3 linked regions of the Arabidopsis thaliana genome follow. The protein of the gene in region 3 interacts with the protein of the main gene of each other region in a pairwise test. Each region holds a gene or a part of one and is shown on either strand. Other genes may lie near its edges. The genes, in order: AT3G56370, AT5G56040 and CYCA3;3.

What was found.
Region 1: the proteins of CYCA3;3 (region 3) and AT3G56370 interact in a protein complementation assay, tested with the Arabidopsis thaliana proteins (one large-scale study listed by BioGRID).
Region 2: the proteins of CYCA3;3 (region 3) and AT5G56040 interact in a protein complementation assay, tested with the Arabidopsis thaliana proteins (one large-scale study listed by BioGRID).

Annotation. Positions count from the first base shown.
Region 1 is NC_003074.8:20,896,185-20,907,631, forward strand, and holds AT3G56370 (Leucine-rich repeat protein kinase family protein), read right to left. Parts: upstream 6,897-11,447; 5' UTR 6,651-6,896; intron 6,277-6,650; 5' UTR 6,207-6,276; coding exon 4,777-6,206; intron 4,684-4,776; coding exon 3,219-4,683; 3' UTR 2,915-3,218; downstream 1-2,914. Other genes in the region: AT3G56360 (uncharacterized protein), read left to right, coding at 457-1,158; RR17 (response regulator 17), read left to right, coding at 9,296-9,431, 9,540-9,619, 9,714-9,791, 9,910-9,983, 10,088-10,184; AT3G56390 (WRKY transcription factor-like protein), read left to right, coding at 11,170-11,406.
Region 2 is NC_003076.8:22,690,720-22,702,313, reverse strand, and holds AT5G56040 (Leucine-rich receptor-like protein kinase family protein), read right to left. Parts: upstream 7,492-11,594; 5' UTR 7,265-7,491; coding exon 4,459-7,264; coding exon of another isoform or gene 4,403-4,458; exon of another isoform or gene 4,371-4,402; coding exon 3,904-4,370; 3' UTR 3,669-3,903; downstream 1-3,668. Other genes in the region: AT5G56050 (late embryogenesis abundant (LEA) hydroxyproline-rich glycoprotein family protein), read left to right, coding at 296-1,147. UniProt on the Arabidopsis thaliana protein: Receptor with a serine/threonine-protein kinase activity.
Region 3 is NC_003070.9:17,299,035-17,308,322, forward strand, and holds CYCA3;3 (Cyclin A3;3), read left to right. Parts: upstream 1-4,641; coding exon 4,642-4,845; intron 4,846-5,018; coding exon 5,019-5,251; intron 5,252-5,354; coding exon 5,355-5,507; intron 5,508-5,587; coding exon 5,588-5,771; intron 5,772-5,869; coding exon 5,870-6,004; intron 6,005-6,088; coding exon 6,089-6,163; downstream 6,164-9,288. Other genes in the region: CYCA3;2 (cyclin-dependent protein kinase 3;2), read left to right, coding at 2,002-2,343, 2,425-2,657, 2,742-2,894, 2,980-3,163, 3,262-3,396, 3,479-3,550; CYCA3;4 (CYCLIN A3;4), read left to right, coding at 7,718-8,038, 8,311-8,543, 8,638-8,793, 8,894-8,927, 9,018-9,167, 9,250-9,288.

The sequences.
Region 1 (11,447 bases), on a different chromosome or scaffold from region 3:
ACAGCTAAACCGCGTCGCCACGTTCTCCATCTCGTACCGGCTTCACGTAATAGCAACCGTTAGATTTACATCGAACGGTCCATATCTGATATCTAATTAGTCTATATCGTCAACACTTTACAGGGAATAATCACCTACTTAAGCCACCTCAGACTTTTGAGGATAACGTGAAGAATAAGATAAACGCGATTTCTACCATCTCTAAATCTCAACCGTCCGATCAAACAACTTACACAACTTCCGTGCTGGAGAAATAAAAAAATTAGGTATTTAATAATTCATCATTGCCATTGGATTGTGTGTGGCTGCGTCAGTAAAACGTATTCTTAAAAGCAACCATTGGTGTGATTGACTCTATAAGAGAATTCGTCAGCGTGAAGCAATCTCCAATCTAATCGCAGCATATCTTCTCCGATTCCTATTCGTCTCTGCAATTGAATCTTCCGGTAGGCGAAGATGGCGACGTCTGCGAGGATTTGTTGCGGAGGAGGAAGTGCATGCGCCGTTCGTTGTGATCGTCGCACGTTAAATTTGAATTCTCGATCGTCATGTGTTGTTCCAGTGACGAATCGACGGAATATGTGTGCGATCGGGAAGATTTCGATGTCGATGGAGGATTTGTCACCACCGTCTGCGGCGGTGAAGATTGAAAGGATCGGTGGAAGGAAACGCGGTGGATCTGTTGTGTCGAGGGAGAAGCTAGATGTGTGGTTGAGAGATTCGGTGGTTGAGATCGTGAAGAATCTTAGAGAGTCGCCGTTATTGATGCATTTATACGCGGAGGCTAATGGTGGTTTGACGACGACGGCAACGAATCCAAAGGCGGAGGATTGGACAGAGATGGAAGGAAAGTGGGGTAGAGGAGAAGAGAGGACGCCGGAAGGAGTTATATTGGTGGAGAAGCTCGCAGACGGTGACATAGCAGATGATGATGATCACGATGGTGGCGCGTGTGGGGAAGATACAAGCGCGTGGGGGATTGTGGCGCAAGGAAGAGGATCGGATACTGGGCCGGTTTGTTATCTATTGAAAACGACCCGGGTCCGGTCGGGTATGGGTACGGTTTGCACCCATTTCTGTTTGGTTAAGGTCAAGAGTTTTAGGGAAACGGCTATGTCACAGTTGAATAATTCGTGGTTGGTGCAGACTGGTCAATGAGCAGTGATTGTCAAAGGATTTGCACTGTAAATTATTTATACTCTTTGGGTTTTGATTATGAAACCCTTATGGATGATCAAATTACATTTGTTATTAATACAGAACATTTTTTAGGAATTTGGATTGGTGATATAAATGTAAATAAAATGGTCAAAGTTGGTTGGTTATAGTGATTTGTTTAATCAAAGAACATTGTTAGTTTTGTTGCTATTGTAGTATAGAGGATTTGAATCAAGACAAGTAGACAACTTAATCCGTGTAAGATCTATATGCAATTATGCATTCATTAACACCACAATAAGCAAAAGTGTAGGTGGATTTAAAACTTCTGTTAGTGATCATAGTGCAAAGCCTATAGCTGATACTGCCAGAAGTTGCATTAGAGTTCATAACCTCCGTCGGAAAATTCCGGAGTCGATCTCCGGAGATGGAAAAGAGAGAAAATGAATAAAACATGGTCGTGATGGAAAATTATGGATTGTTTGATTGGATCATTTATATGGATTTGGATATTGGATTTAGATTTTAAGGCCCGTAAATATATGGAAGGTATAGGCCTTTGTTCCTATGGGCTATGAATGATCCAATGTTTATTTTCTTCTTTTTTATGAATTCTCTGAAAGAATCCAATAAATTGAAATGACATACAATAAGCTAATCTAAAGGGGCCAAGGAGTTTCATTGTTTATGACTTTGACAAGCGATACACATTTAGCAGCACAAGACATTTCACGATCGGACTTACGGAAGTGAATGATTACACTTAATCAACCACCTCTAAATTATTGGCATCACCATCTAAGACTCTTAAGTTATGGCTTAATTATGATCACCATTATATATATTTTTTTTTTAACATTTCACAATCTTATTTTTTTATTTTTTTGGTTTATACAAGGTTCCTTTTTGGGATTTTTTTGGAAATAATCCAATAAATGAAAATGACATATATACTGTATAAGCTAACCTAGAGGAATTAACTCATATATTAATAAGCTGTATATATTAATGACATGAAAAAATGTGTATAGAAAGATGAATTATTTTTTTCTCCAACCTAGTTATAAACCGAAGAATTGATCGGTAATATAATAATAAGCTGTATATGGAAAAAGAAAAAAATTATAAATGGAAAATGTCCCTTAAGTAACTTATTTTTTCAGGTTCCATTTCAAATGGAAAAAAAAAGTGTTAGCATATTTGGCTTAGAAAGTCAAAACGTTAGATGCCATCTCACTTTAATGCTATCATGTACAATATTGAAATGGATTTTTAACTTATGAGTTAAAATGTCAAAATGTTGCAAATTACCGAGGCTAGACAACGTAGATTGTAGTACTAATTTCGTCTTTCCCAACTCCAAGAGAGAAAAACGTGGTCTGTTTCAGACAAGGCATGCTCCATTCCTCTTTTATCGGCCATTGAAACTAGGGTTCTTCTGTTAAAAATGTACTTATATTATCCCTCAAAAAGATACTAATGAATAATGTATTTTAATTACAGATTCTTGAGACGTTTCTTCGATTCCCATAATCCAATAAAAGATCAGACCCATTAAATTGTTGAGTTTTCACAGAGTCCCATGCACATGGTTACAACAAATGAAGCTTCTTAAGTTATTTTATACTCTCTTTGTTCAGAGAGCATCATCACACGAAGTCACTAAGTTTTATCTTGATTCTTGTTTTTCTCAACCCTAAGTTTTTATTTGTCTCACAAGAAAGCTCTTATCTTCTACGACTGCTAAAAGATGGTTCAGAACCTGAAATGAAGACTACAGGCTTTCTTTCATAATAATACTTAAGATTTCATCGAAAGAGTCCCATATTATGGAACCCGGTGAAGACAAATCCGATACAGCCCTAAAAATGTTACAAGAACAATAAATAGAAGAAGCTACAAACATTGAAATTGAAACTAACAGACACAAAAGATAACACATAAGAGATTATCAAAAAACAAACACAAACAAGGATTTCTCTTAAAACCCCCAAATGAACAAACCGGATTCCTCTTCGCCGGAACTTGGTGAAAAAACATGTTAGTCTTTAACCTTCTTTTCAACTTGAACCCAACTCATCTGAGCTCCCTGAAGGGCATCTGATCATCCTCAATATGTTAACAGCTTCTCCCATATGTGGTCTACTTGATGGAACCTGAGAAGTGCAAATAAGCCCTAGCTTTATCACTGCAACCGCTTCTTCTACCGGAAACTTCCCTTGCAGCCTTGGGTCAATACATTCATCTGCTCTTCCATCTTCAAGAGCTTCTCTCACCATATCACACAAAACCACAACATCATCTTCCATATACTCCACAGGCTTTTTACCTGTAACCACTTCAAGGACCAAGACTCCAAATCCATAAACATCACATTTCTCTGTTATTTTCACCGTTCTACAAGCAAACTCTGGAGCCATGTATCCCAACGCACTCTGTATCTTGCTACTCAGCACGTACCTATCTAGCATAGGTAACAGCCTCGCTAATCCGTAGTCTCCTACTTTAGGCTCACCAGAGCTGTCTAGCAACACGTTGCTCGATTTGATGTTGTAGTGGATGATGTTTGATTGGTGCAAGTAAGCTAAGCATTTCGCTGTACCAAGGATAATGTTGAACCGATCATTCCAAGAAAGCGAACTATTACCTCCTGGTGCTTCGTGCAACTGTTTGTATAAACTCCCACCAGAGAGAAACTCATAGATCAGAAGCTGGAGAGAAGTTGTCCAGTAATATCCTTCGAGTTTAACCAGATTCGAATGCCTGAGTTTTCCAAGTTTCTTCACCTCTCTTTCGAATTCGTCCTGAGACTTGACAAGACTCGAGACAGTGAGCTTCTTGATAGCTACAGGATACCCATCTCTGATAACTGTTCTGTACACCGCTCCAAATCCACCTCGACCAAGCTCACAGTCTTTGTTAAGCAGAGCATGTGTTCCAGTGCTGAAATCAGGTTCACCAGAGAACATCACCAGCTTCCCTGAGTTGCTATCAGTAGTGGGAGATCGACTGAAGTCATCTCCGCCTGAGAACGTGAGCGGTACTGCTGATCTTGAAACCGTTGATGCGCGCACTCTCAGATTAAGTACCGTGATGGCTATTACACCAACCACAATGGCTGCAGCAGCACTAATGGCTATCAAAGAAGATATACTAAGCAGTATCCTTTTGTGACCAGCACCTGGAGGCACTATTTCACCATTGTAAGGATCGAAAGTTGCATTAGGATTCAACACAATCGGTTTAGGGGAGATGGCAGGACAAGACTTATTGACAACAGCACCGCAAATTCCCGGGTTTCCTGATACTGAACTTGGGGATAAACCGTTGAAGATTCCACCTGCAGGTAGTTCCCCAAAGAGATGGTTATGAGATATGTTGAATGTGTGAAGATAGCCGAGATTAGCCAACTGTTTAGGAAGTGTTCCGGCCAGTTCATTAAATGATAAGTCGACTTCTTCGAGTCTTGTAAGTTTAGCGAGCTCTGGTGGAATTGAGCCTAGCAGCTTGTTATGTGACAGGATCCTGTAGAAAGAAGCATGAAACAGAACACAGTTAAGACATAATCTTCAATGGGAAAATCTTAACAGAATGCAACCTAAAGCAAAAGAGACTTACAAAGACCGAAGGGAACTGCAATTCTTGATGGAAGATGGAATATTTCCCTCCAACAAGTTATTTTCAAGTCTCAACTCCTCCAAAGAAACAGCTCCACCTGTTTCTCGAGGAATCATTCCATTGAGCTGATTGTGACTCACATCAAGGACGCTCAAGTGCTTTAGTTCCCCAATGGTACTGGGGATGGGGCCGGTAAGAGAGTTTCTGGACAGATGCAATCCCTCCAGGTCTCTAAGATCTCCTAGACCAGCTCCAATCTCGCCAGAGAATGCATTGTGGGAGAGATCCAAAACCTGGATCTTCTTGATACCTCCAGTAGAGTTATCATTCTTTAATGCAGACACATCACGAGAACCATCTTGAAATAGCCACATGGGAAGCTTTCCAGTTAGTGAATTCCCACTTAAATCTAAGGCCAAGAGGTTGATACAGTTGGCTGTTGAGACCGGCAAGCTACCAATAAGCCCATTCCCAGAAAAGTTGAGAACTTTCAGTGCTAGAAGGTTGCCTATGGAGTCTGGAACCTGCCCTGAAAACTTATTCATGGAAAGATCCAAAGTCTCAAGACTCCTCATTTCTCCTATCCACTTTGGAACTTCACCTTCTAACGCATTCTTTCCCAAGTTCAGAGAATAACACAAACTGAGCTGCTGAAATGTATTTGGTAAGCTTCCTGATAGAGAGTTTTCACTAAGATCAATAGTCTTCAGCAGCATACAGCTCCCAATTTCGCTAGGAATAGGACCAGATAACCGGTTTCTACTCAAATCAAGCGCACGCAAGTTGTTCAATCTATCTATCTTCTCTGGAAACTCTCCCTCTAACTCATTCCTCGACAAATCAAGTGATCTTAGAGTGTTCAAAGACCAAATCCCCAAAGGCATAGAACCAGAAAAACCATTGGAAGACAAGTTTAAAGCAGCAAGAGACGAGCACGAGCTTATACTAACCGGAATCTTCCCCGTTAGTTTGTTCTTCGCCAGAGATAAAACTCTTAATGACCCACATTGCCTGAAAAACTCATCAGGAAGCGAACCAGACAAGCCATTGCTACTCAAGTCAACAACCTTAAGGTTAACAAGGCTCAGCAGCATATTAGGGTTAATGATTCCCGTGAGATTGTTGTTGGACAGAGAGAGCTTATGAAGAAACTGAAGCTGAAGTAGGCCACGACCAATTCGACCAGACAGAGAGAAGCCATCTAGATTTAACTCAGTGACTCGATTCGTCCTCGGATGGCATTTGACTCCGTTCCAACTACAAGGAGTGTAGTCATCTTCGTTCCAAGAAGCTAGCTTTTGCTCTGGATCTCGTAAATCGGCTTTGAAGACAATGAGCCCTAAAACGTCGTCGTTTAAAGGCGGGTCTAGAGATCTCACCGGAGCTACTGCCGACACCAACAAGACTGTAAAAATCAGTGCTTTGTACATCTTTCCACAACCCTCTTCTCCGTTGAACAGATTTTAGTTGCGGAAGACCTCCATTTTCAGTTATGTAGAGCTGAAATTAGAAAGAAGAAAATTGGTGAACACAAGAGAAAAAAAAAAACAGTACATCTCAAAACAAAAACTTTGTTTGTTCGTATTCTTAGGCGTTAGATTTAGTAGAAGAAAAGAACAAAAATCTATCTCAACGGCTACATTTCGGCCAACGGAGGAAGCAAAACAAAGCAAAAAACAATGAAGAAAAATCCGGTAAAACAAAGGCTAGTTATATGAATAGAAGTAGCTACAGTTTACTTGAAATTCATAGAAATTGAAGAAATATTCAACCTTCAAGTGAATGGCTGAAGTAAATGTTGAGCAAAATAACTTGAGTTTTTTTAAGTAAAGGAGTCATTGGACAGTTACGATCTGGAAATGAGGAATTCTCACCTAGTAAGAATTTTCTCCGGGAAGATTTCCGACGAAGAATGTTGCAGCTCAGGGGGAAAAAAAACACCGTAGGAAAAGAAAGTGAGAGAGCACGAGCTTCTTCTTCTTCTTCAACTTTGTTAGGTTTTGTAGCTTTAAAAGAAGAGTGAATTTGGGAAGAAGAGAAAAAAGCCAATAAAGAAAAAAAAAGAGAGCAGAGAGAGTAATTAAAAGCTGCCTTTATCAACGGGCTGGAAAGAAGAGAGTGTGGGGCCCGAGGAAGGTGGGTGGACTCATTAAAACTCTTTAATTGACACGTGTATTTATTTTGTTGGGTTTGACGAATCCGACTTGGCTGACACGTGGCTTTTATTTTTATTTTGTGTTGGTATAGTAAGTGGGAAAATGAATAAATGATTGGCCAACTCATAAAGAAAGAAACTATAAATTTGAATATGACTAAATTATCCTTCCCAAATAATAGAAACTTTCTTTAATGGGTTTACATGCTGCTCTGTGGCCTCTTGGTATGATTCAACTAATTAGAAAATAATCTTTCACATAAAATGGAAATAATGTGGAATGTGGTTGGTTCTGTTATTCTCATGCAGAGAATTGGTATTTTGGGTAAAAAATTATGCAGAAAGAGACAGTGGTTAAAGTGGTCACCATAGTTTTGGTTTTTCATTTTTTTATTTTGATTCTCTATTTTGTTTTTTGAAGTAAGAACATTAAAGTAAGTTGGTGAGGAATGATGATGGTGTCCTGGAAAAAATATTTTGTGGTGCTTAGAGATCATTAATAATTGCAACCATAATGTTATTGTTCATTTATGTACAATGTCCTGGTCAGTAGTCAATGCATCAAACTTATTAATTATGGGTTTACAAATTTTCTTGAAAAATTATGGGGTTTTGAAATTGGATCACAAACCTAAGGATTTTGGTTGACTTGGAGGAGCTACAGATGTAAATTTTGGATCTTCTGTTTGTGCAAGGAATCATACATTATGTAAACTTTTCCTACAGATTGAAATGCGGTTGAATAACTAAGTGTCAAACACTTATTGCCATAAAATAAAACATTAAAAAAAACAGATAATAGAACAAATGATGTTGAAAAAAATATTATAATCCGTTAAGCATGCTCTTGGAATTTTTTTAATTGTTGTCTTTCTCGTTTGAGATTTGGTCCGAGTCAAGACATTTTATCAGACTTCGGTCTCTCTCCCATACCTATGTTTTAAAATTTTATATTCCTTTTGACAGTAAAAGTTATTTATTATGAAATAAACAATGAAAAATAACTCTTTTCCCCATGGAAGGAAAACAACCCTTCATGGAAATTTTGGAATTTACTATTTGTTTCTATTTGCAATTTAACAAAGAGGCCTTTTTTACTTTTTAATGTATTCTAAAAATATAGGGTCAAATTTACTACTGTTTTTAAGAGCTTTCGAGGAATTTTTTGGGCAGTGTGAGCCGGACCGTAGCGAATTCACATTTACTGTTCTTCGCTTTCCATCTATATGAAGAATTTACCCTTTGTTTGTTTTCTACAGTTAGTATTTATTTCCACATTCAATTTTTACTCGAATCTTCCTCTGTCATATCAGGATTGGCATTTAGGACCAGCCATTAAAAGGTAAAATATTTACTTTCCGGTGATGTAAAATTCCAAATTTTCTTATATTTATTTAATTATTGATTACTTACAGTTTCATTTTTTATTCCATGGTAAATAACTACGGATAAGATGGGTCCAACTCTTCCATTAGAGGCCCATTAATGAGAAACGATAAATGGGCTCAGATAATAATAAGGCTTATCAAAGTTCTACAGTCCGAATTATATTTCAGGAAAGAAAACAAATTGAACTAAAGAAATGCGACTCGCAGCTACTTATAACGCGTTACAAGGCTGGCCCATGCAACTATGCAGCTATCATATCGGTCAAAGATTTCGTATTAAAATTTGAGGTTTTCACGATAATTAAAATTGACAAATAATAATATACACATCGAACAAGCCCATAGTTTAAAAATTCAAATACTAAAAATGATAATATATCTTAAATTTTAGAGAATCATGGGGACTTCGTAACTGAGATTCTGATACAGATTTGTGATCCATTTTGAAAATTAAATATGATTATAAATTTGCATCTTCATTATACGCACGATTAGAAAAGCCAAACAAATGGGAAATTAAAAATTAATATTTGGATTTTCGTTATCATCGTACAAGATCACAAAGCACTGTCACTGACATAAAACACCAAGTTTCTTACCAGTTTCCAGAGAATCAAATACCAAGAACAAAACCACAACTTGTTGTATCTTAAATTATAAGGAAGATAAAATCATATCAAATCATTTCTTGATATATTGTTATCCTATATATCCATATATAAATTAACAACATAATTATATATATATATATATATATATATACACATCCATTCTCAAATCTTTTTAATGTATCATTTCTCTGTTTTTCTCTCCTTCTTCTGTAAGTTTGTCTCTGTTTTCTTTAGGTTTGAGAATTAAAAGCAGTATAATGTATTAGTGTCTGACTCATTTATTCTCCTCCTTCTTGTGCAGATTTTTGTTCTTTGTTGCTTGACTCACAAGGAACAAAAACGATATCTCTCTGTAATCGTAGGAGATGAATAAGGGCTGTGGAAGTGGAAGTGATTCTTGTTTATCGTCAATGGAGGAGGAGCTTCATGTTTTAGCAGTAGATGATAATCTAATTGACCGTAAACTTGTTGAGAGAATCCTCAAGATCTCTTCTTGCAAAGGTAAACTATCATTCAAATTTTTTTCCTTCTAAATTTCAAGAACCAAGATTTCTTCTATATGGTAACATTGCCTCTGAAATGAAGAAATTGATTTTACTTTCTGTACAGTGACAACTGCAGAAAACGGGCTTAGAGCTTTAGAATATTTAGGCTTGGGAGATCCACAACAGACTGATTCATTGACTAATGTAAGCTCAATCTTCCCCATGAAACATTCTGATTGGTTTGGAGAGGAGACATTTGTATAACATCCAATATGACCTTTTGAGACTGTTTTTTCAGGTAATGAAGGTGAATCTCATCATCACTGATTATTGTATGCCAGGAATGACAGGTTTTGAGCTGCTTAAGAAAGTGAAGGTGTGTAAGAAATTTCTCACAAATGAAAAGTCCTCTTGACAAGATCAATATAGAGTTATATAGACTAACAAAATCTCTTTCTTTGTCTCTGTTTCTATGGTGTTTTTATTATTGGCAGCAGGAATCATCGAATCTAAAGGAAGTACCTGTTGTGATATTGTCTTCAGAGAACATTCCTACCCGCATCAACAAGTAAACTTATCATTCCTCAGACACATTGCTTAATTGTTCTGTTCTCTTGTTTTGTTTTCCTCAATGGTGAATTAAGATTCTGTAATCTCTTGATGATATTACAGATGTTTAGCGAGTGGAGCACAGATGTTTATGCAGAAGCCACTGAAACTATCTGATGTAGAGAAACTGAAATGCCATCTTTTAAATTGCAGAAGCTGAAGGTAGATCTGCTTAGACTCAAATGCTCATAGAATTTTTTTTTTTTTTTTTTTTTTGTTTGTGTTCTCTAATATAAGAGAAAATTAAAGATGTATTCCTAAACAATGACAAAGATTGTCTTGATCTTTAAAGATTTGTGGAGAAGAGATAAAAGCCCAATAAGGATCTCTCTGAGTAGATTAGTTTTATGAATTAGAAATGTTCTTTTTGGTCAGATTGCAAGAAATCTAGAATTCATTATTGGCAGTTTAGCTTTGTGGGTCCTGTTTAATCGTTTTTGGGCCCATTATATTTGATCAGACAATTATTTCAACATTTAATTCCCAAGTCTTCGCATGGACTTCCAAGATCGCCTTTAACGTTGAAAAGCTACAAATATTGAAAACAAGACTATGATGACGAAATCAAGGTGCATCTGCTTCTTCTTCTATCGTGTTTATCAAAACACTTACCCTCCAAAAAAAGTTAAATCAATTGTCGGACGATAGAAAACATAAACATGATCTAACGCTTTAAAACATGTTCTCACTTTTGTTAACCAAAAAAAAAAAACAAGCCTAGTCCTTATCTTCTTCTTGTCACATCGATTAAGTATTAAGAAATCAATTACTAAAGTGTTTGTTATGGGGATGGAGCAATTGCAAAGTTTAGTTTAATTAATCCATGTTTTGCCAATATGTCAACGCAAATAAAAGAATTGAGACGAAAGTCATTATATGATTGGAGATTGTATTACGTATACGTCGCATTCTGAAATATTTCACAATCTTTGTTTTTTCAAATTCGAATCAACATAGGATCCAATCTTTCTTTACATGTCCCTCTTGCTCTATAATATATTTTTATGTGTGTATATAGATGCATACACAAACAGGTGAAGCAAAAAACAAAATTTGTAAGGTAAAAAATAAGTGTTACATATGTTTTGTGTGAATACTTAAAAGAAGGCATAATCGAACCACAATAGAATTGATATAATCAAACGATGGAGGAGATATTAATGTCAATGATATTCAACGGAATCAATCTGGTCAAGGAGCTTGAGTTCAGTTTATCATCACAAGAGTCACCAGAATCAGATTTGTCGAGTTCTCTAAGCTCGATATCCACTCTATTCGGAGACGTCAACGAGCGGCTGAAAACCCTACTAGCGTGGAGGAACTCTCTGTCACAGTACCAGCCTGAACCGGAACCGGTTTTAATGTTGGATATGACGAATTGACGATGCAGATTGAACCGAGTCTGATGCAGGACCACTGGTTA
Region 2 (11,594 bases), on a different chromosome or scaffold from region 3:
TTCTTTTGTTGTATTAGGAGAAAAATGAACATGTAATTTTCTACATAAATCCAACTCTACAAAACAAAACCCATCCCATTAAGCAAAAGGCGCTCCCTCCTTTTAGTTTTCCCACTCACAATCTCTTTTTCAAAGGTAATAAACTTTACTTTATCTATTTAACCAAACACCATAACACATTTCCAAAATTTCCTTTCATTGTACAAACATCAGTTCTCACACCACCAAGATACTCAAAAGACAGAAACTTCAAGAGTTTCCTTCTTCCTCTTCAATTATCAAGACATAAGAACCCATGTCAAAATTTTCTCCACCGCCACAATCTCAACCACAGCCGCCCGAAACACCACCATGGGAAACGCCGTCTTCTAAATGGTATTCTCCAATATACACGCCATGGAGAACAACTCCAAGAAGCACACAATCAACTCCAACGACTACACCAATAGCTCTTACCGAAGTGATTGTGTCTAAATCACCTTTGTCTAATCAGAAGAGCCCTGCAACTCCTAAACTAGACAGTATGGAAGCGCATCCTTTACACGAGACGATGGTTCTCTTACAGCTAAGAACAAGCCGGACCAATCCATGGATTTGGTGTGGTGCAGCTTTGTGTTTTATCTTCAGCATACTTCTTATAGTCTTTGGGATTGCTACTTTGATTCTCTATCTCGCCGTCAAACCAAGAACCCCTGTTTTTGACATCTCTAATGCAAAGCTCAACACCATCCTCTTTGAGTCACCGGTTTATTTCAACGGTGATATGTTGTTGCAGTTAAATTTCACCAATCCTAACAAGAAACTAAATGTGAGGTTTGAGAATCTTATGGTAGAGCTCTGGTTTGCCGACACAAAGATCGCCACACAAGGTGTCTTGCCGTTTTCGCAAAGAAACGGCAAGACTAGGCTAGAACCGATCCGTTTGATTTCAAATTTGGTCTTCTTGCCTGTAAATCATATACTTGAGCTCAGAAGACAAGTGACGAGCAATAGGATAGCTTATGAAATCAGAAGTAACTTCAGAGTCAAAGCTATTTTTGGGATGATTCATTATTCTTATATGCTACACGGGATTTGTCAGCTTCAATTGAGCAGTCCACCAGCCGGTGGCTTAGTTTATCGGAACTGCACTACAAAAAGATGGTGAAGAACAGAGTTCATCTTCAAAGTCTCTATCTTTACCCTTGTGTTCTTCAAGCATAGATCTTTCTTTTGCCCACTCACAAGATGTAAAAAAACGAATCAAGATTCAACAGACTCTATGCAAGAGCCAAGATAAGATTTTTGTTGTATATTGTTAAGACATATCTAGTAAGGTTGGTGTAATTAAATGAGTCAAAGAGATAATTCTTATACGGCCACATGTTCTTATCACTTATTCATGTTTGCTTCAAGATTACTAAATCTGATCCGATCCATATTTGATCCACAAGATACAATCTAAAAGAAAAAGGATCTGACAGTAGATTGCTATGTTGGTTCTTTTTTGGTTGAAAGAAATCAAAAGAACAAAAGGAAGCAGATTCATCTCCTAACACAAGCCAACATGGAGTTCTTTTTAAAATTTATAGTCTTAACTTCATGAATACTTTTTTTCTAGGAAACTTCAGGAATTAGCTACAAAAGTGTCAATTGCAAGTGGCAGAGAAAAGTTAAGCAAGAGATTGACTGGCTAACTAGCTTAGCCAGGAAAAGCATGTAAAGTTGAGATTGTATACGAAGCCCAAATTCTCAGCAAAATCTTTAGACAAAAGCAAAAGAAAAGGGACCTAACAATTTGGGGTTTGAGAAACATCAAATGTCTAGTGGTAGAGACTGAAACAACGATCGACAACACAGACTCTTTCACAATTTTAATACTTGTGTCAGCAAGAAATTAGTAATCAATTCTAACTTTTATCTGCATTCCATCATATCAACTTGCTTGCAGTAGCCTACTAAAAAAAGTACTAACTAGACGAATGAGAAAGGAACAAGACCTAGTTTAGGCTTTTGAGAAGAAAACATGACAATCCTAATTAAGGGTGAACAAGAATTAGTTCTGCATAGACCTAGTTCTGTTTTATTCACTTTAGCTTCCACGGCAAGCATCAAGGCCTTCTGATGCATCATTTTTTACCATCTTAAGGAACCCATTGTTTCGAAATGGGGTCACAGTCTGCCGCAAATTAAGAAATCCTAGAACTAGAAGATCAGATTCGTACTCAGCATTACGTTCCTCATCTAGAAAAAACCCTAATCCAACACCTGAGAAACGCATCCCTCAATGTTAAACGTTATATTGAGAAATTGGTTAACAAAACAACACTTTGGTTAAACCAATTACGGTTCTCCGAATTGGTTTACTCAGTCGTATTTTAATTTTGTCATTTAACTCGATACGATAGAAATCTTCTTGTACATATTTAAACGGACTCATTTGAAACACAACAGGCCCGTTAGGCCCGCGAATTTGAAACCCATTATATGTATGTATCCGGATCTCATACCCGGTTAAATATCTCTAGGAGAAACTCTTGCATGGATGATGCATGGGCACAAGACTTGAAAATGAAAATCATGAGATGATGTAATGTTAGCTCACAACAATACATCGAATCGAACACATGAAGTGGACTCCCGTACATTCCGCATAATCATCATTAGCTTTTTGTTGCTTCTGTCTGTTGCGAGACTTCAATAACCTTTTTCACATATTTTTTTCCTTTAGCTGATTTCGTATTATTTTGTCAATAGTTTGTTTCAAAAATACGAAAAATAATCATTAATATCACGAGTAATGGATCTACTCATCTACACGAGAACTAATATATTGTTCGGGATACGAATTTGTTAAGATAATTTTTCTCTTGCTATACAACTAAACTAACTACATTTAAACTGTGATGGCAACTCAAAAATCAGGACTAATTTAAAAAAACTTTTGGAAGTCACTATCAAAACCTCTTGAACTTAAGAGATTAAATAGACAAACATATACACAACAAAGAGAAGCAACACCCACAAAACTGAAAACTGTCGTTCTTACATTTGGTTAAGGCATGTGCAATCTTATTATTGTGTGCACACAAAGTTTTTTTTTTTTTTTTGATAGCTTAAAAAGGTTATGTGAGCCTCGAGTCATCTTCAATCTTATATTATATAACCAAAAATATTATTTATTGTATTTAGATGATAAAAATTGGTGATTGTTGGCTGGAAAGTCATTGTTATTCAGACAACACATGATCATGTGATGGGTGGCGCGTGGGTCCACGTGATCCCACGTCGAAAGCCTCTCTTATAAATTTCACAAAATTAGCAAACATCCAAAGATTATATAATTTGATAATTGAATAAAAATTTTAATAAAGAAGAACGAATCTTTCTTCTGTATGTAACTCCAAACACTCCCGGCCTTTCTCATCCAGTATTTGTATCTTAAATTCTTCAAAAATTACAAAAGCAAATACCTTCAAAAATTTTATAAATAGTAACTCATCATGTTCTATTTTTTGATATAATAGAATTGTGGATCAATGTTCAAACTAATCTTTCTCTTCCTCAAAATTTAGTTTCTGCAATGTTCAGACAAAATGGACTATTGAACATGGATAATTCTTGGATCTATGAATTTTCGGTTTAGCAAAGTTAACCAATATCTCCAATTATTTATGTTTATATTATTATTTTGAAAATAAAAAATAATAAAATAAACCACTTCAAGCTATTGAAATTATTTTACAATACATTCTTTCTTCAACTCGTTTGCAAGAAAAAATAAAATTAAAACTCACAAACCAAAACAATAAGCTAAGCTTAGATCTTTCTTTCCCTGATTCTAACAAATCATCGACAACAAATAAATATTCACACACACATTTTATAAATGTCATCACCCTAATCGAACTCCTGTAAAATTTTTTATACGGATTCATCCGAGTAAGCAAACGAACAATTAGATGAACCTCGAGGAGTACTGACAATTTTCTCCGGTGGTAACGGTTGCGGCTGCCATTTTTCGCATTTTCCGCCTTTTATCATATCGGATTCCGATCTATCCATATCAAACTGCCTAATCTCTTTAAGCATTGCCACAATGTCTTTCATCATAGGCCGATCGGATGCCTTGTTGCTCACACAAAGGAACGAGACCGCTAGAGTTTGTAGCATCTCATGCATTATAGGATCTGCCCGCCCGCGGAGTCTCGGGTCAAGAATTTCTCTAGGATCTTTCTTTCCGGCTAAATGATCTCTCACCCATTGAACCAAATGAGCACCTCCGGGTAGATCCGGGTCCAATGGATGCTTCCCGGTTAAAACTTCTAGTAGCACCACTCCATAGCTATACACATCACTCTTTTCTGTTATATGTTGCATCGAAGCATGTTCTGTAACAAAACAAATAAAATCCGTTATAAAGTTAATATTTCGAAATTGATAAGTTTATAACGTTAAAATCGAAATTTTGAATTTTACCTGGAGCCATGTAACCATAAGAACCGGCTAACGGAGGCCGGTTACTCAATTTAGACGAATCTCCATCGGTAACTCCCTCACCGGAGACGATTTTTGCTAAACCGAAATCGGCTAAGTAAGATTCGAAGCGGGAACCCAATAAGACATTCATAGCTTTAACGTCACCGTGTAGAATCGGAGGAAGACAATCATGATGAAGATAAGCTAGTGCATGTGCAACGCCTAAAACGACGTCGTAACGTGCTTCCCAATCAGCTCCTCCACTTCCTTTACCGGCACCGTGAAGCAGAGAGCTTAAACTTCCGTTAGGAAGATAATCATAGAACAAAAGCTTCAGATTCCGATTCGAACACCAACCCAAAAGACGGATTATGTTCCTATGTCGAATCGATCCAAGAGTGTTGATCTCTGAGTTAAACGCTCTGTTTTCTTCCTTTGACCACATTTTCTTCACAGCTAAAGTTTCACCGGACGGGATTGTGACTCTGTAAACTACACCGGAGCTTCCAGTTCCGATCACGTTAGCTGAAGTTAAGTTCTTGACGATGTCGTCGATGGAGAAATCGAGTTTCTGATAAAGAGTCACTTCCCAAGAATCTAACTCCTCTTGTTTTCCGGTGATTCGTTGAGCTTTGACGAGAGTGTAAACCGCCATGAGAACAAGAACGACGCTTGCTGCTACGAGGATCGACATGGTTACTTTGACAGCCGAACGGTGTCGGGTTTGGATCCCATTCTCGGGTCGGGTCGAAATAAATAGCCCTTTGTTTGATTCAAGAACAGAGAGTGGAAGTTTCCTGAAAAACAGAGTATTTGGTAACTCGCCTGAGAATTCGTTGAAGGAGATGTTGAGTGAGACGAGGTTCTGTAGATCAGCTAAGACGTTTAGGTTTCCGGCGAGTTTGTTGTGAGAGACATCGAGGGTTCCGAGATTAGTGAGGCTAGAGAATCTCGACGGGATCTCTCCGGTGAAGTGATTGCAGCTGAGATTTAGAGAGATCGCAAGAGACGGGATCCGTCCTAACTCGTTAGGGATTTCTCCGGTGAAGCCATTGTCGCCGAGGTTGAGAAGCTGAAGACTCCGACAGGAAGATATCTCTCGAGGGATTTCGCCGGAGAAACGATTCTTCGCGAGATTGAGCTTCGTGAGTTCGGTTAACGATCCGATTCCGGTTGGTAGAGAACCGGTTAATGAATTATCGGATAAATCAATGAATTGTAAGCTCTTCGGAAGTGTACCGGGTAAACCACCGGTTAAACCGTTTGAATGTAGATCGACGAATTCGAGACTTGTACAACCGGAGATCTCCGGAGGAATGTTTCCGATGAGACGATTCTCACTTATATCGATGAAGTTGAGATTTTTCAGATTCCCAATCTCCGCCGGAATATTCCCCGCGAGTCTGTTACCGTTGAGTCTTAACCGGTAAAGATTCGTGCAGTTTCCAATATCCGGTGGTATGAATCCAGATAAGTAGTTAGAGAGAAGAAGAAGCTTCGTGAGGTTTCGAATCTCAAAGATTCCATTAGGTATCGAACCAGAGAGATTGTTGTAGGAGAGATCAATCGCTTGAAGCTCTTGACATTGAGAAAGAGACTCTGGAATTATTCCGGTTAACTGATTCTGCCACGCAAAGAACATCGTCAAGCTTGTTAATTTCCCGATCAACGGCGGAATCTCGCCGGAGATTTGGTTGTTATCGATCTCTAAATGCGTCAACTTCGTGCAATTCGCGAGTTCTTCAGGGATTGTACCGGAGAGCTGGTTAACACTTAGCTGAAGCTCTTGGAGATTTGGAAGGTTTCCGAAGCTTCTTGGGATGTTTCCGGTGAGGAGATTTTCCGATAAATCGACGAGGAAAAGCTCCGGACAGGTGCCTAGCTCGGTAGGGATCTTTCCGACGAGATTGTTTTGCCATAAGAGAAGACTTTGAAGCTTCTTGAGACGTCCCATTGATACAGGAATCGATCCAGAGATTGAGTTTTGGTACAAGTAGAGGTTTTGAAGCTCTGTGCAGTTTCCAATCTCATCAGGGATTGGACCAGACAAGAGTGACGTGTAAAGAGCTATTGTCTGAACCTTTTTCAGGTTTCCGATCGACGCCGGAAGTCTACCGGAGAGACTTGTTTCGGCGAGACCTAAAGTCACAAGACTCTCGCAGTTACCAATCTCCCAAGGAAGCTCTCCTCTGAGATTCTTGTTACCACCTGCACGGAAGATTTCTAGATTCTTGAGTTCTCCGATGGTTCTAGGAATCTCTCCGGCGAGTTTATTGTCGAAGAGAGTGAGCTCGATGAGGTTAACGAGATTCCCTAACTCCGATGGAATCACACCTTCGAGATTATTTGTGTTGAGAGACAGAATCTTTAGTTTCTTGAGCTTGAAGATATCCACAGGGATTTCACCAGAGAGAGAATTATCAGCTAAATCAAGAACTTCTAGCTCCGACAAGTCTCCAAGCTCCTTAGGGATTGAACCAGTGAGATTCACGGAGGTTAAGCTGAGCAAAGTCAGAGACTTTATCTGTCGGAGATTCGTCGCCGGTAACGGACCTTGAAAATCCATGACTTGGAGTTGTATCTCCGAGACTTGACCTCTTTCGTTGCATTTGATTCCCACCCATTGACAAGGATTCGATTCGGAGGCTTTCCAAGAAGATAAAGCGTCTCCGGAGATGTTCAACTGAGATTTCCATGAGAGGAGAGCTAGACCCTGTTCGTCTATGGAAAAACAGGGGATGGAGAAGAAAAGAGAGGAGTGAAAAAGAAGGAAGAGGAAGAAGCAGAATCTAGGGTTACGTGGCATTGGTGAAGAGGGAGAGGAAGAAGAAGAAGTGAGAGATAGAGAGAGAGGTGCGTTGGGATTGTGAAGCGAAGAACCCCATGGATTTGGTTTTTACTTTGATTTTATAGAAATATATAAAAACAGAGCAAACCAAAGGAGAGAGAGAGAAGAAGAAGTAGTAAAGGAAGATCTGGATCCCAAAAAGCACCTCTACCTTTTTCCCTTTATTATTATTTTCCAAACAATGTCACTTTATTTTTTCACCATTATTTGTTTGTGAACAAAACAGAATTATATAAGTTGAAAATTAAATAAAAATATAGATGAAAAGAGTGGTAAATTATATTTATTCCTTTTCTTGTAAGTGGATTTATCTGTGGTAAATGCTTCTAGATGAGGCATGCTGATAATATTATTCATAAATGGTAAAAAAAAAAAACTCCTATAGATCTAACTATTACATAGTCATAAATCATCTAAGAAAATTAGGTTATCAAATTCAGAAAATGACATGTTAGAATTGGCCCTATTATTTGTTATTTCTGGATTGTTATCTTTTAAGAAACAAAAGGAAGATAACGTTTACTCAGATCAATAATGACTTCTAGACTTCTAGTTACTAATAATGATATTTGTTGAATGCTACTACTAGTAGTACTACTACTACCTATTATTGATAAACGACGCATAACATAATTGGGGTTTTCTAATGCTTCGAAAGAAACATTTAGATAATTTGGATTGTGATTATTTGTTTTTTTTTTTGTTTACTTTGGGAGAGTCTGAAGTGGCTATATAGTGGTAAAAATGAGATTAGTAAATAACTGAAAGAAAGATGGAGATATCTACTTTGGATTTCTGATATATAAATTATTAAATTAGTAGTTGAAACATGGAATCTTGAAGAGTGTGAAATGCACATGAAAGCTAGGAATTTATGTGAAAGATTAATTAAATTTACTAATGCTCATCTCTGCTAGCATTGTCGGTCCATTTCATTCGCTGTAATTATCTGTTTATATCATACGTATGCTAATACTAATTAATATCCATATACATATATACACTTGCTCATACATATATTGAATTAAGATGAAGGTGTTTTAGATCCAATTTCTTGGACTGGAAATTTAGAATACTGATTAGAAAAATTAAAAAGGAGGAACTGGACAAAACAAAAAGATTATGGAAAAGATAAAGTAAACTAAAATTAAGATCATGGGTCAAGCATCATTAGGTCAAGAAGATTATATATAAAGATATAACACCACACCTCAAGTCACATGCCATAGTAGAATCAAAAGATTAAATATGTATCAATAGATATGTAGAGAGATGGTTATGCATGTGCATATCTATACACATAGTAAAGTGAGAGAAAGCATTTCGACAACATGGTTTTATTCTGCAGGTATTTAATTATGGAATAGTGTGTACTCTAATTACCGTAAATTTCACTTAAAAACTGGTGATGTTAATCATATATTGATGTAATATGTTTCGTAATATGTAACTTTTGTTGTAAGTTAGAGACAACAGATATTCTTTCATTTTAAAGAGTTACATTAATGGTAAGCAAGTAACAAAGTTTCTTTCTCACAAAAATACGAATATCTCTTGGGGTCTACCACATTTACATGAAATGTACATACTAAATCATTTGCATAAACAGTACTAGTGTGTCTAAATCATTCTCAGGCGCACCGTGGTACAAATGACCTCAACTTTAAGACCAAAAGTTTTGCTAACGCTTTGAATTCGACGTATGTACATATTTCGTGTGAGGCATTTCATCATTTGGACTAAGCTCCAACGTTTTGTCAACCCTTGATCTATAACTTCTTTCTTTGGTTTATAACTTATGGAGTATTTGTTTAGTTTTAATAAATAAATAAGAGAGTCATACCAAAATAAAATTAAAATAAGAGACGAACATGTGTGGGGAGAGTTAAATGAATATGGTCCATAAAGAGGAAAAATAAAAGGGAAAACAATAAGCCAAAAACCAACAAACAAGAAGGAAGTAAAGAGACAGCAAAAGATGCAAGAGAAAAGACAAGTACCCAACTGTATTTTCCAAACTTGTTAAAATTTTGATTTCTTTCTCAAATCTTATGATTATCATTAAATGGTCCATATTGTTCTTTTGTCTATCGCATCTATCGTTATTTGAATTAGTGTCGTCGACAATTAATGACTGTTATAGCTAAGCAGCTTCCAAATTATACATGTTCACATATGTATGCAATGAAGGGTGATGGTTTTTATTATAATGAAGTGTGATGGTTTTTCTTACTTTTAAGAAAGTTAATAGTGATGATAACAATTAAGATAAATTAAAAGATGTAGACTTGATTACGACAATGGAACAAGATCTGGATCTATATCACGTTTCGATTAGGTCAGAGATCTCACCACATGATGATAGAGCAATAGAAAATACGTCTAGGGATATATATATAAGCAACTAAGGATAAATATTACTAAGTGAGTGTTATAAATTACTAATTAAGTGGATCTGATCGATGATTATGATGGGCAATTTTTTACTTAGTTTTTTTTCTTTCTTTCTGCTAATTAAGTATATACAAGCATTTGTCTGTATCAATTTTATAAATTCAATTATAATAATAAAAACTGGTCCACTGTGGGGTATTTAGTAGCAGAAGCAGTCCAAGAATGTAGTGGCAGAAGTGTGAAAAGAAGTGGGCATCGATCAAAACTACTTATTTCTTTGTTAATTTGTCGATCCAATGAATATAACATATATTATGGTTGATCATGATAATGCTACGTCTTATGAGTGGCCATGTTGATAAAATTCCATTGGTTGTAACCACTCATACGACTACGAAGACACTGTAGTAAGAAAACCATTTAGATACTTGCTGATAATATGGAAAACCAACCAATCCAAAAAAGAGGAAATTTTCTAATATTAGTATTTAGAAAAGGCGAATAATTAGATTCATGCTTAAATTAATGTGGACGACGAATCACATAGTCAATATATAATCAAAGCTCATACACATTTCAAATCGAAAAACAAAATCCAAATATATGTGATGTACCATTTAGTGAAATTATACAGAAGAAGATTATGAGCCATGGAATGTTTCAACTATGAAAAAAACTAATCCACACGCACATAGGAATATGATGATTTCTTTCGTCGAGGACATATAGGATGATATTGTTAGATAAAACTTTTTATTACTAATTTGGGACATCTCCATATCAAGTGTGAACCCTATTATATATAGTTTGTAGTGTATAATTGATTTAGGAAAGTGTATATTTACAAAAACTGATATATATGCATGAATGTATGTAAGTAGACATTTTGTGTTTGTAGGTATGTATATGATGTGAAATGAGATGGGGCCAATGATAATGAGATATGGCTTTAAGAGGGAAATCATAATAGTGACCTTTTTTGTGATGACAACAACCACACGTGCTCTCATTCCTTCTACCAAAGGATTGCCTCTCGCCTTCGTTGCACCTTTTTTCCTCCAATTATTTCAGAACCAAATGATATTTCTCAATCCTAGTTTTTAGATCGAAACTCAAAACTCTTTCTTTTTAACTTCATTTCATTGATGTTATGTAACTCTCTTTTAGTTATCGCAAGTACTTCATTGTTAACATTCTCTGTAGAGACCAAAGCAATCTATAACTTTTGTAACTTACTTGATAAAAAACCAACAATCTAAAGTGAGAACTATATAGGATGTAATAAGAGAAATATATGTTAAAAGAAAACACATAACTCAGTTGAAACTCAATTTCATGAAAACATCCCTAGTCTTAACTAAACTGACTAGAGAGTTAACTTTGTTACTTTTAAGTTTTAAAAATTAAAAGAGGCACACCATTTAACTCTTGGTCAAAAAAATATGTTTTGGAAATATATAATATGAGTTTATATATGTATTCACCTTTCACTCTTTTTCTTCGTCCTTTAATCCTTTTCCGCAATCTTGTTAATTAGATTTTCAGCTTTCTTTTTTTTCCTTTCCGCTTCATGTTGTCTTTTTTTTCTTCTTCTTTTGATCATGCTAATTTTTCAATCTTAGTTATTTTAATAGTTCATATTTAAGTTATTGCGTGACCATGAAAAATTCTCACCGTGAAAAACCAGCCTTTTTGTTATCTTTTTTACTTTTTCATTTCTCTTTTTCACAGAATAAGAAATAGACAAAAACAAAGTGTTGTTTTTTATAGAAAGATTAAAAATAAAATACACTAACTTGATGTGTCTTTAAAACTAACATTGCTGAGTGGAGAAGTTGGGCAATTGCAATCAATTAATCTAAAATATAATGAGATTAATGGGCCTTTGCTGTTT
Region 3 (9,288 bases):
TTTTATTGATATCAGATGAAGATAATATCAGTATATAAAATACAATAAATGTTTTAAATATAAATGTTTTGTGGAAAATAGTATATATATAAAATCAAAATAAGTAGGGTAACTTGATTTTTTCTTACAAATTATTTTCAACTGAACTAATCTTTAGGTAATCCAAATATTATTTTACAAAATCTAAATAGGGTAATAATCATAAATGACGATAACCACTACATTCTCATTCGACTATCTTTTCAAGCGACTTTGTATTATCTTTGGAGAGAGTGGAATGAGAGGAAGCTCACAACAAGAAATGTCGGACCCATATGCAGCTTCTAGCCATGATCGAGAAAACCATTCACTCTCGCATCATGTCATTGTGTTACTACGAGAAACCAAAACTTAAAGATTGCTTCAAACTTTGTATGTGACGAGACCCCTACATTAGTCACTGCCAAGATCTGTCCTCAAATCTTTGATCTGTTTTGTTATGTCTTGTTTTTGTATATTGTCACATTCTCATTGTAAATTATTAGTTACCAATCAACAAATTTTACATCATAAAAAAGCAGTCAAGAGATTTTTTTATTTTAGAACTATTTGGCAATCAAGTTTGAAAAATATATTGGGTGGAGGATCAATTGAACATGTGGATGATGAGTAAAATTAGTTTTGAGTCTAGTTAAAAGGTGATCAAGGTCTATTATGATATTTGGTGAGCTTAGAAGAAATTAGAAAACATAATCGTTTCTCAACCGAATGTATATTCGCAACGTTTCTTCACCTTGAATTTGCCTTGGGTTGGCTCTGCTCTAAGGAGGTGTCTTTGTTGTTTTTGATTGTTTGTTGTGTTTCTTCACTTTGATAGGATAAAGGTTTGTTCCGCATGATGTTCCAGTGAGCTTTCAGTGTTGGATAGAAGCGGTGATTTGGTCTAGAATGTCTATATTATATTGTGGGAACTGATTTTTCTAGTTTTATGCTTGAGAATGGTGGCCTTTGGTGGCCAAAGGCGGCTTTTCTGGATGTTCGTAGATGCTCTTTTGCTGTCAGGTAAGTCTATTCTAGCGGTTTTGTTTTTGTGTTAGTTCTCAAAAAAACTATTAGCGTCTTTTTGTTTTAAGGTTTTGAAGATAGACCTCATAAAGAAATTGCTCGTGGTAACAATAATGAAGATTCAATTTTTGTTGGAGATGGGACAATTATACAAATGTCTGAGCCTCACGGTTCAACATTGATGTTCTTCATCGAACCTATGCTAGCTGCTTTCCACTTAGCTTTCATTATAGTTTTCGTAAGTTTATTTAGTTATAGATTTTGGTCTTTATATCTTCTTTGTTTTTTTCTGTAATCGTTTTCACAATTTAGACCATACTAAACAACATAAAATTCTCAAAATTATAAAATAATCACTATAAAAAAAAATAAAAAAGGATCAAAATTTTATTTAAAAAAACCCTAAAAAACTAGTTAGTTTTAAAAAGTCATGATCTTGTTTAAAGAAAATTGTACATTTAACAATTCTAAATATTTTATTAAAAAATATAAGATTAGTAAAGTACAAAATATCACAATCTTTTTTTTTTTTTTTTTTTTTGTCAAAGACAAAATATTACAATCTAAATTATAAATTTAACAGATGTCTTCGAAGGGACAAAAATGTCAAATGTCAAATTTGTTTCTGAATCGAACCACCACGGCCAAAACCCCAATCTTTACCGGTCAAAAACATTTTCAGGCAAAATCTGAAAACAAAAAAACATAAATCACCCGCCCAAACAAATTTCAGAGAATTTTCGCACCTCCAAAATTTTTTAGTTGACTCCCAAAAAACTCAAACTCCAAAAAAATCACAGAGAGCGCCACAATCAGAAAAAATGGCGCTTTTGCTCTTCCCTTTTTCTTCCCCTTCTCACCTTCTCTTCTTCCACTCATCCGATCTCTCAATCCTCTCAAATCTCAAACTCTCTCTTCCCATCACTCTCTCGCTCTCTCTTCAATCTCATCTCAATCATGACAGAGCAAGAGATCTGCGTGAGGGTTACAAGAGCGGCGGCGAAACGAAAAGCTTCGACGGCGATGGGTATTGACGGAGATCGGGTCAACAAGAAGAGAGTTGTTCTCGGTGAGCTTCTAAACGTCTCCAATGTCAATCTCTTGGCTAATCTCAATCAGAAGAAAGAAACCCAGAAGCCAAAAAGGAATCTTAAACCTCCTCCGGCGAAACAGATTAAGTCAGCTCCGGTGGCTATTATTGACCTAGAATCAAAATCTGACATTGATTCTCGATCTGATGATCCTCAAATGTGTGGACCTTATGTTGCTGATATCTATGAGTATCTTCGTCAACTTGAGGTAATAATGATCTTGTGTTTTGGATTTAGAATCATTTACTTAGTTCTTGAATTGGATCTGAATTGGATTTGGTGAATTCAGGTGAAGCCAAAGCAGAGACCTTTACCAGATTACATAGAGAAAGTTCAGAAAGATGTAACACCAAGTATGAGAGGTGTTTTGGTTGATTGGTTAGTGGAAGTTGCTGAAGAGTATAAACTTGGATCTGAAACACTTTATCTCACTGTCTCACATATTGATAGATTCTTGTCTTTAAAGACTGTTAACAAGCAAAAGCTACAGCTTGTTGGAGTTTCTGCTATGCTTATTGCTTCGTAAGTGTTTTATGATTCTTCCTCTCTTGTGTTTGTTGTCATTGTTTATGTATGGAAGCTAATGGAAGTATTGAAATGTTGTAGGAAGTATGAAGAGATAAGTCCTCCTAAAGTGGATGATTTTTGTTACATTACGGATAATACGTTTTCGAAACAAGATGTTGTGAAGATGGAAGCTGATATACTTCTTGCTCTTCAGTTTGAGTTGGGAAGACCAACGATTAATACTTTTATGAGGTTAGATTTGTGTGTATTGGTGATGATTACTTATTGGTTTGTCTTAGTTTCATTGTTCTGATTTTGTGTGTTGGTGTTTGTGTAGACGGTTTACTAGAGTTGCACAAGACGATTTCAAAGTTCCACATTTGCAGCTAGAGCCTCTTTGTTGCTATTTGTCAGAATTGAGTATATTAGATTATAAGACTGTGAAGTTTGTGCCGTCTCTGTTGGCTGCTTCTGCTGTTTTTCTCGCTCGGTTCATCATCCGTCCGAAACAACATCCTTGGGTAAGCATATTTGTCTCAGTCTCTTTCAGGTTTTAGTCTGCTGTGGTCATTGTTTAGAATGAGACACTAATGATTTATGGTTGTGAATATGTAAACAGAACCAAATGTTAGAAGAGTACACAAAGTACAAAGCGGCTGATCTACAAGTGTGTGTTGGAATCATACATGACTTGTATTTGAGCAGAAGAGGAGGTGCTTTACAAGCTGTTAGAGAGAAATATAAGCACCATAAGGTACTTAAACATTACACATTGATAAAATCATTTGAATAAGCAGAGCTTTCTTGATACTTAATGTTGCTTCTTCTCGGTACAGTTCCAATGCGTTGCGACCATGCCTGTTTCACCAGAGCTGCCGGTTACCTTTTGGGAGGATGTTACCATTTGATCTGAGGTTATGCTATCTTAAGCAAATGTTACGGAGCTGGATTACCGAATCTTGTTTCAAATAGTATAATGGACACAGATCTTCAAGTGAAGCTAGAAGAGTAAGAAATATAGAAGTGAAGGCAGGAGCAAATAAGTCTGCGTTATGTGAAGATGTGTGATGTATTATTGAAATCTCTTCTTTTTTATTTACAAAATTTTAGTGTGAAATTCGGAATAATATAATTTTATACAATTATGCAATATGATATAAGTATTTATGTGACATGATCTTATTTTGTTTAAGCATTGAGCCTACTACTGTATGTTTATACTTAATGAAAATTCCTAGAGGGCTAAAACTCTAGAAGACATTGTTGTTAATTTAAAGAAACTAATGAAAATCTCAAGAAACAAAAGAAAAGAAAAGATTGTCTATGAGATTGATAATCAAGTTTACTAAAGAGAGATTAAACTTGAGAAACAAGAAACAAGGGAGCTTTAGCGATGACTTGAAAAGTTTCGGTGTGAAGATCCAAAGACAAAACCATGGTTTCAACTTTCACCCTCGTGTGAACCAGTGAAGTGAGCCATCAACATACACAGGATCTTGGGTGTGAGAAACCAGATAAGGGGATGCAGGACAACGTACCTCCAAGTGTTGGTTGCAAAATCAAAAACTTCACAAGTTGTAGCGTTCTCGTTTAGGCCTAACTCAGCGGAATAAGCAAATCAAATCGAAATTATAATTAGGGTTCTACTTTACAATTTTCTCCAAAGTAAAATTACAAGTTTTAGATTAAAAAAAGATAATTATATGTAATTACTTTTTGAGATTTTTAATCAAGTAAAAAAAGGTAATTTCTCTAAATTAACACGTTTTGGAACGATTTTTTTTTTAATTTCCTTTTTTTAATTACTTGGGATTTCGTGTTCAACAAGTTATTGTTTTGGGCTTTGGTTTAATTTTCCTTTTTTTTTTAGTCTGTCTCATCTCTCATCTGAATTCTGAAACCTGGTTGTTTTAGGATAGAGTCTTCTACTCTATATATAGGACTTAGTGTAAGATTTATTGTTGTTCTTTCGAAGATGTGTTCTTGTTTTTCGATAAATATGGTGTCTAAGAAAGATAAACAGATTCATTCCGACCATAACCCTCAAGATGCTTCCCCGGTAGAGTGGGCGGAAATTCGACATAAGCTACTTGCGTTTCAAGAGAACATTCAATCAGGCTCTGACATTGACGCTAGGTCTGATGATCCACAGATGTGTGGACTTTATGTCTCAGATATCTACGAGTATCTCCGTGAATTAGAGGTACGTAATAAGATCTCCTACTTGCTCTGTTTTTGGACTTAGAACATTGACAAGTTTCAATAGGTCAATTTAGTATACTTTATCTGAAGAGTTTCTATGATTGTTCTCTGTTTGGACTTAGAATTTGTGGATATGTTCTGAAGATTTGTGTTTTTGGTTTGGTGAATATTCAGGTGAAGCCAAAGCTAAGACCTTTACATGATTACATTGAAAAGATTCAAGAAGATATAACACCAAGCAAGAGAGGTGTTTTGGTAGATTGGTTAGTGGAAGTTGCTGAAGAGTTCGAACTCGTGTCTGAAACACTCTATCTCACTGTCTCTTACATTGATAGATTCTTGTCATTAAAGATGGTTAACGAGCACTGGCTTCAGCTTGTGGGAGTTTCTGCAATGTTTATCGCTTCGTAAGTGTTTTTGATCCTCTTGTATTACTCTCTTTGCTATTCATTGTCATGTTGAAACTTACATATGGAGTGGCTTCTCTTTTTTGGCATTTGATATAAATAGGAAGTATGAAGAGAAACGTCGCCCTAAAGTGGAGGATTTTTGTTACATTACGGCTAATACTTATACGAAACAAGATGTGTTGAAGATGGAAGAGGATATACTTCTCGCGCTTGAGTTTGAACTAGGAAGGCCTACGACAAATACTTTTCTAAGGTTAGAATTGTGATGAATAATACTGACTTTTGGTTGTATCTTATGGTTCTTTGTTCTCATCTTTTGTTGTGTTTGTGCAGACGGTTCATAAGGGTTGCACAAGAAGATTTCAAAGTGCCAAACTTGCAGCTAGAGCCTCTTTGTTGCTATCTGTCAGAACTAAGTATGTTAGATTATAGTTGTGTGAAGTTTGTTCCATCTTTGTTGGCTGCTTCTGCTGTCTTTCTCGCTCGATTCATCATCCTTCCTAACCAACATCCTTGGGTAAGAACTTTTGTCTCAATCTCTCTTTTTCAGGTTTATATGTTGAGTTAATCTTTTGAATGAGACACTAATAATCTATGGCTTGTAATGTAAAACAGAGTCAAATGTTGGAAGAATGCACAAAGTACAAAGCGGCTGATCTACAAGTGTGTGTGGAGATCATGCTTGACTTGTACCTGAGCAGAAGTGAAGGTGCTTCAAAAGCTGTTAGAGAGAAATACAAGCAACATAAGGTAATTGACATATTACAAATTATGAAATCATTTGATTTAATTAGTAGTATCATTTATACTTAAATGTTGCTTTTTATGGTACAGTTCCAATACGTTGCGGCAATTCCTGTCTACCAAGAGCTTCCGGTTACCTTTTGGGAGGATGTTGTTACCATTTGATCAGAACCAATCTTTCATTTCCCAATTGTTACTGAGCTCGATTACTAAGGGACACTGATCAACAGTTGAAGCTAGAGGAGTCATATGTTATATGTATCGAAGTGAAGCAGGAGCAAATAATTTGTGTTGTGAAGATGTATTGTGTTATTACTTGATTAACATTGTGGTGACAAATTAATGTGTTACTCTGGAAATTTATACGATTATGCAATATGATAAGAAGTATTTTATGTGACATGATTTTATTTGTTTAATCATTGAGCCTCCTATGACAAAATTTATAAGTTCCTAGAAGGCCAAAACTTTAGTAGTCAATAATTTACTTCAAATGGTATCGAAACCAGATGAATGGGAAGACATGACAAGATAAGCCTTTAGACTTGCTATGATCCTTGACAAAAACAAAACAAAACAGAAATTGTTCATTTAAGTCAATAAAAAGGCAATTTCTACAAGTGAACCCTTATTGGAAAGATTATTTGGTAGAATTGGTCTGGTCATTTCCAACATACGTTTATTAGATAATAACAGATAGGCGGATCATATAAGATAGAGTTGTCAAATCGGGGTGTCCATGTCCATTAGCCCAATCCAATAATGTCTATTTTGATATTGGACGAACATAGTCCGTATCCATTAACACCTTTGTCCAATCCAATAATGTCCATTTTAATATTCGATTTTTCCTCAAATCGATTTAACCTAACATTATAAGACTATTGGGCCGCCCATGTCCATCATATCTACTCTGCTAAAGTTCATATCCGTTAACGACTATAACCATTAAAGCCCGTTTTATAATGGCTTTATCCATGACTCGGTCCATTAAGTATTGGACGCAGGCAGCCCACGGGCCGCACACCCATTTTGACAACTCTAATATAAGATAAGTGTCCGTTGGTGTCAATTATTTTTGTTAAATTAATAGCTGAATTTGTCGAAAAAATTATATAGGAAATGGTGTTAAATGAATTCCTAGTTCAATGATTTTTTTTTATTATTGTTTAGACAAAATATTTTCATATGGTTTAGTGGATTTATTTTTCTGTATCCAAAAAAAAATCAAAAATGTAAAACTAAACCCAAAAAAAGTATAAAAAAAAAACAAATGCAAAACCGATTTTTTTTTAAATTTTTTAAAAGCATCTCACTTAATTCCGAATCTTAACCAAAACCGAAAAAAAAACAAATCAACTACTAATAATTTCCTTAATTAAAAGCATTCATTGATTGTTATTTTCATCTTTAATTAAGTGAATAAAACAATAATGATTGTCTAAATATAGGAGTGAAACTTTTTGAAGGGTAAAAAGGAGAAAACAGCCGCCAAATAAATGTGGAAATGAAATCTGCAAAAAAGCCCCAAATTTTGGATACTCAAAAGTCAAATCCCTAAAAATTTCGAAATCGGAAAATTTACACAGAGAAGCGCCATGACCTAAAAATCTCAAAACTTCCCCAACAAAAATGGCGCTTTTACTCAACCCATTTCCTTTTACCTACCTTGTACATTACCCCTTTTCTCAAATCTCACTTTCCCACTGAAATAACCCCATGGCGGAGAATCAGAACTGTGCGAGGATGACGAGAGCGGCGGCGAAACGAAAAGCGTCGTCCATGGCGTTAGACGAAAACCCAGTTAGTAAGAAGAGAGTTGTTCTCGGAGAGCTTCCGAATATGTCCAATGTCGTTGCTGTACCCAATCAAGAAAGAGAGACCCTTAAGGCTAAAACAAGTGTTAATACCTCGAAGAGGCAGATGAAGAAGGCTTTGATGATTCCTGAAGCTAGCGTACTAATCGAATCGAGATCTGTTGATCCTCAGATGTGTGAGCCTTTTGCTAGTGATATTTGTGCTTATCTCCGTGAAATGGAGGTAAAAAAAAAATCATCTTTAGTAGATTTCTTGATTCCATCATTTTTGATCTTAGTGATCTTATGGTATCAGTTTATGTTATTTTGGAATTGGTACAGTGTTGGACTTGATATTGATTAATGGGTTTGGTTAAAGTTGTGGATTTGATAAGTTTCTGAGATTTTGTCCAATCACAGCTTGCTCTTATGGTTATATGATATGTTTGGAGAAATTAGAGATGATTGATACTTTGGGACTAATGGTTATTGTTTTTGGATTGGTAAAATTTTCAGGGGAAGCCGAAACATAGACCACTACCTGATTATATTGAAAAGGTTCAGAGTGATTTAACTCCACACATGAGAGCGGTTTTGGTGGATTGGTTAGTGGAGGTTGCTGAGGAGTACAAGCTTGTTTCGGATACGCTTTATCTCACTATCTCCTATGTTGATAGATTCTTGTCTGTGAAGCCTATTAACAGGCAGAAGCTTCAGCTTGTGGGAGTTTCTGCAATGCTTATTGCGTCGTAAGCATCTTAATCCTCTTTGTTTATTGTTGTGTTGGTGTGAAGAGTCTTAGATGGTTGGCTTATGGAATCTTTATTTTTGCTTTTAAAAAAGTAGGAAATATGAAGAGATAGGTCCTCCTAAAGTTGAAGATTTTTGTTACATTACGGATAATACATTTACTAAACAAGAAGTGGTGTCGATGGAGGCGGATATACTTCTTGCTCTGCAGTTTGAATTAGGAAGCCCAACCATCAAAACATTCCTAAGGTTCGACTCTGAAACAGTCTGGTGTTTAAACTTATGATTTCATGGTTTTACTTGCCCTTGTTTTGATTGTTATTCTCTTTTTTATGTCGTGTTTGTGCAGACGGTTTACACGGGTTGCACAAGAAGATTTCAAAGTAAGCTCAAAATCGATGTACCTGTAAACTGTGGCATTTGCATCTCATAATTTCTATTGTTAAATCTTCTTTTTTTTCATGCCTTTGCAGGACTCACAATTGCAGATAGAGTTCCTTTGTTGCTATCTATCAGAATTGAGTATGTTAGATTACACCTGTGTGAAGTATTTGCCATCTCTTTTGTCTGCTTCAGCTGTATTTCTTGCCCGGTTCATCATCCGTCCAAAACAACATCCTTGGGTAAGCAAATTAAGAACCATGACAGGTTCTTATACAGAAAAAGTTCTTTATATTCTAAATCCTCTTCTGGTGATGCAAACAGAATCAAATGCTAGAAGAATACACAAAGTACAAAGCAGCT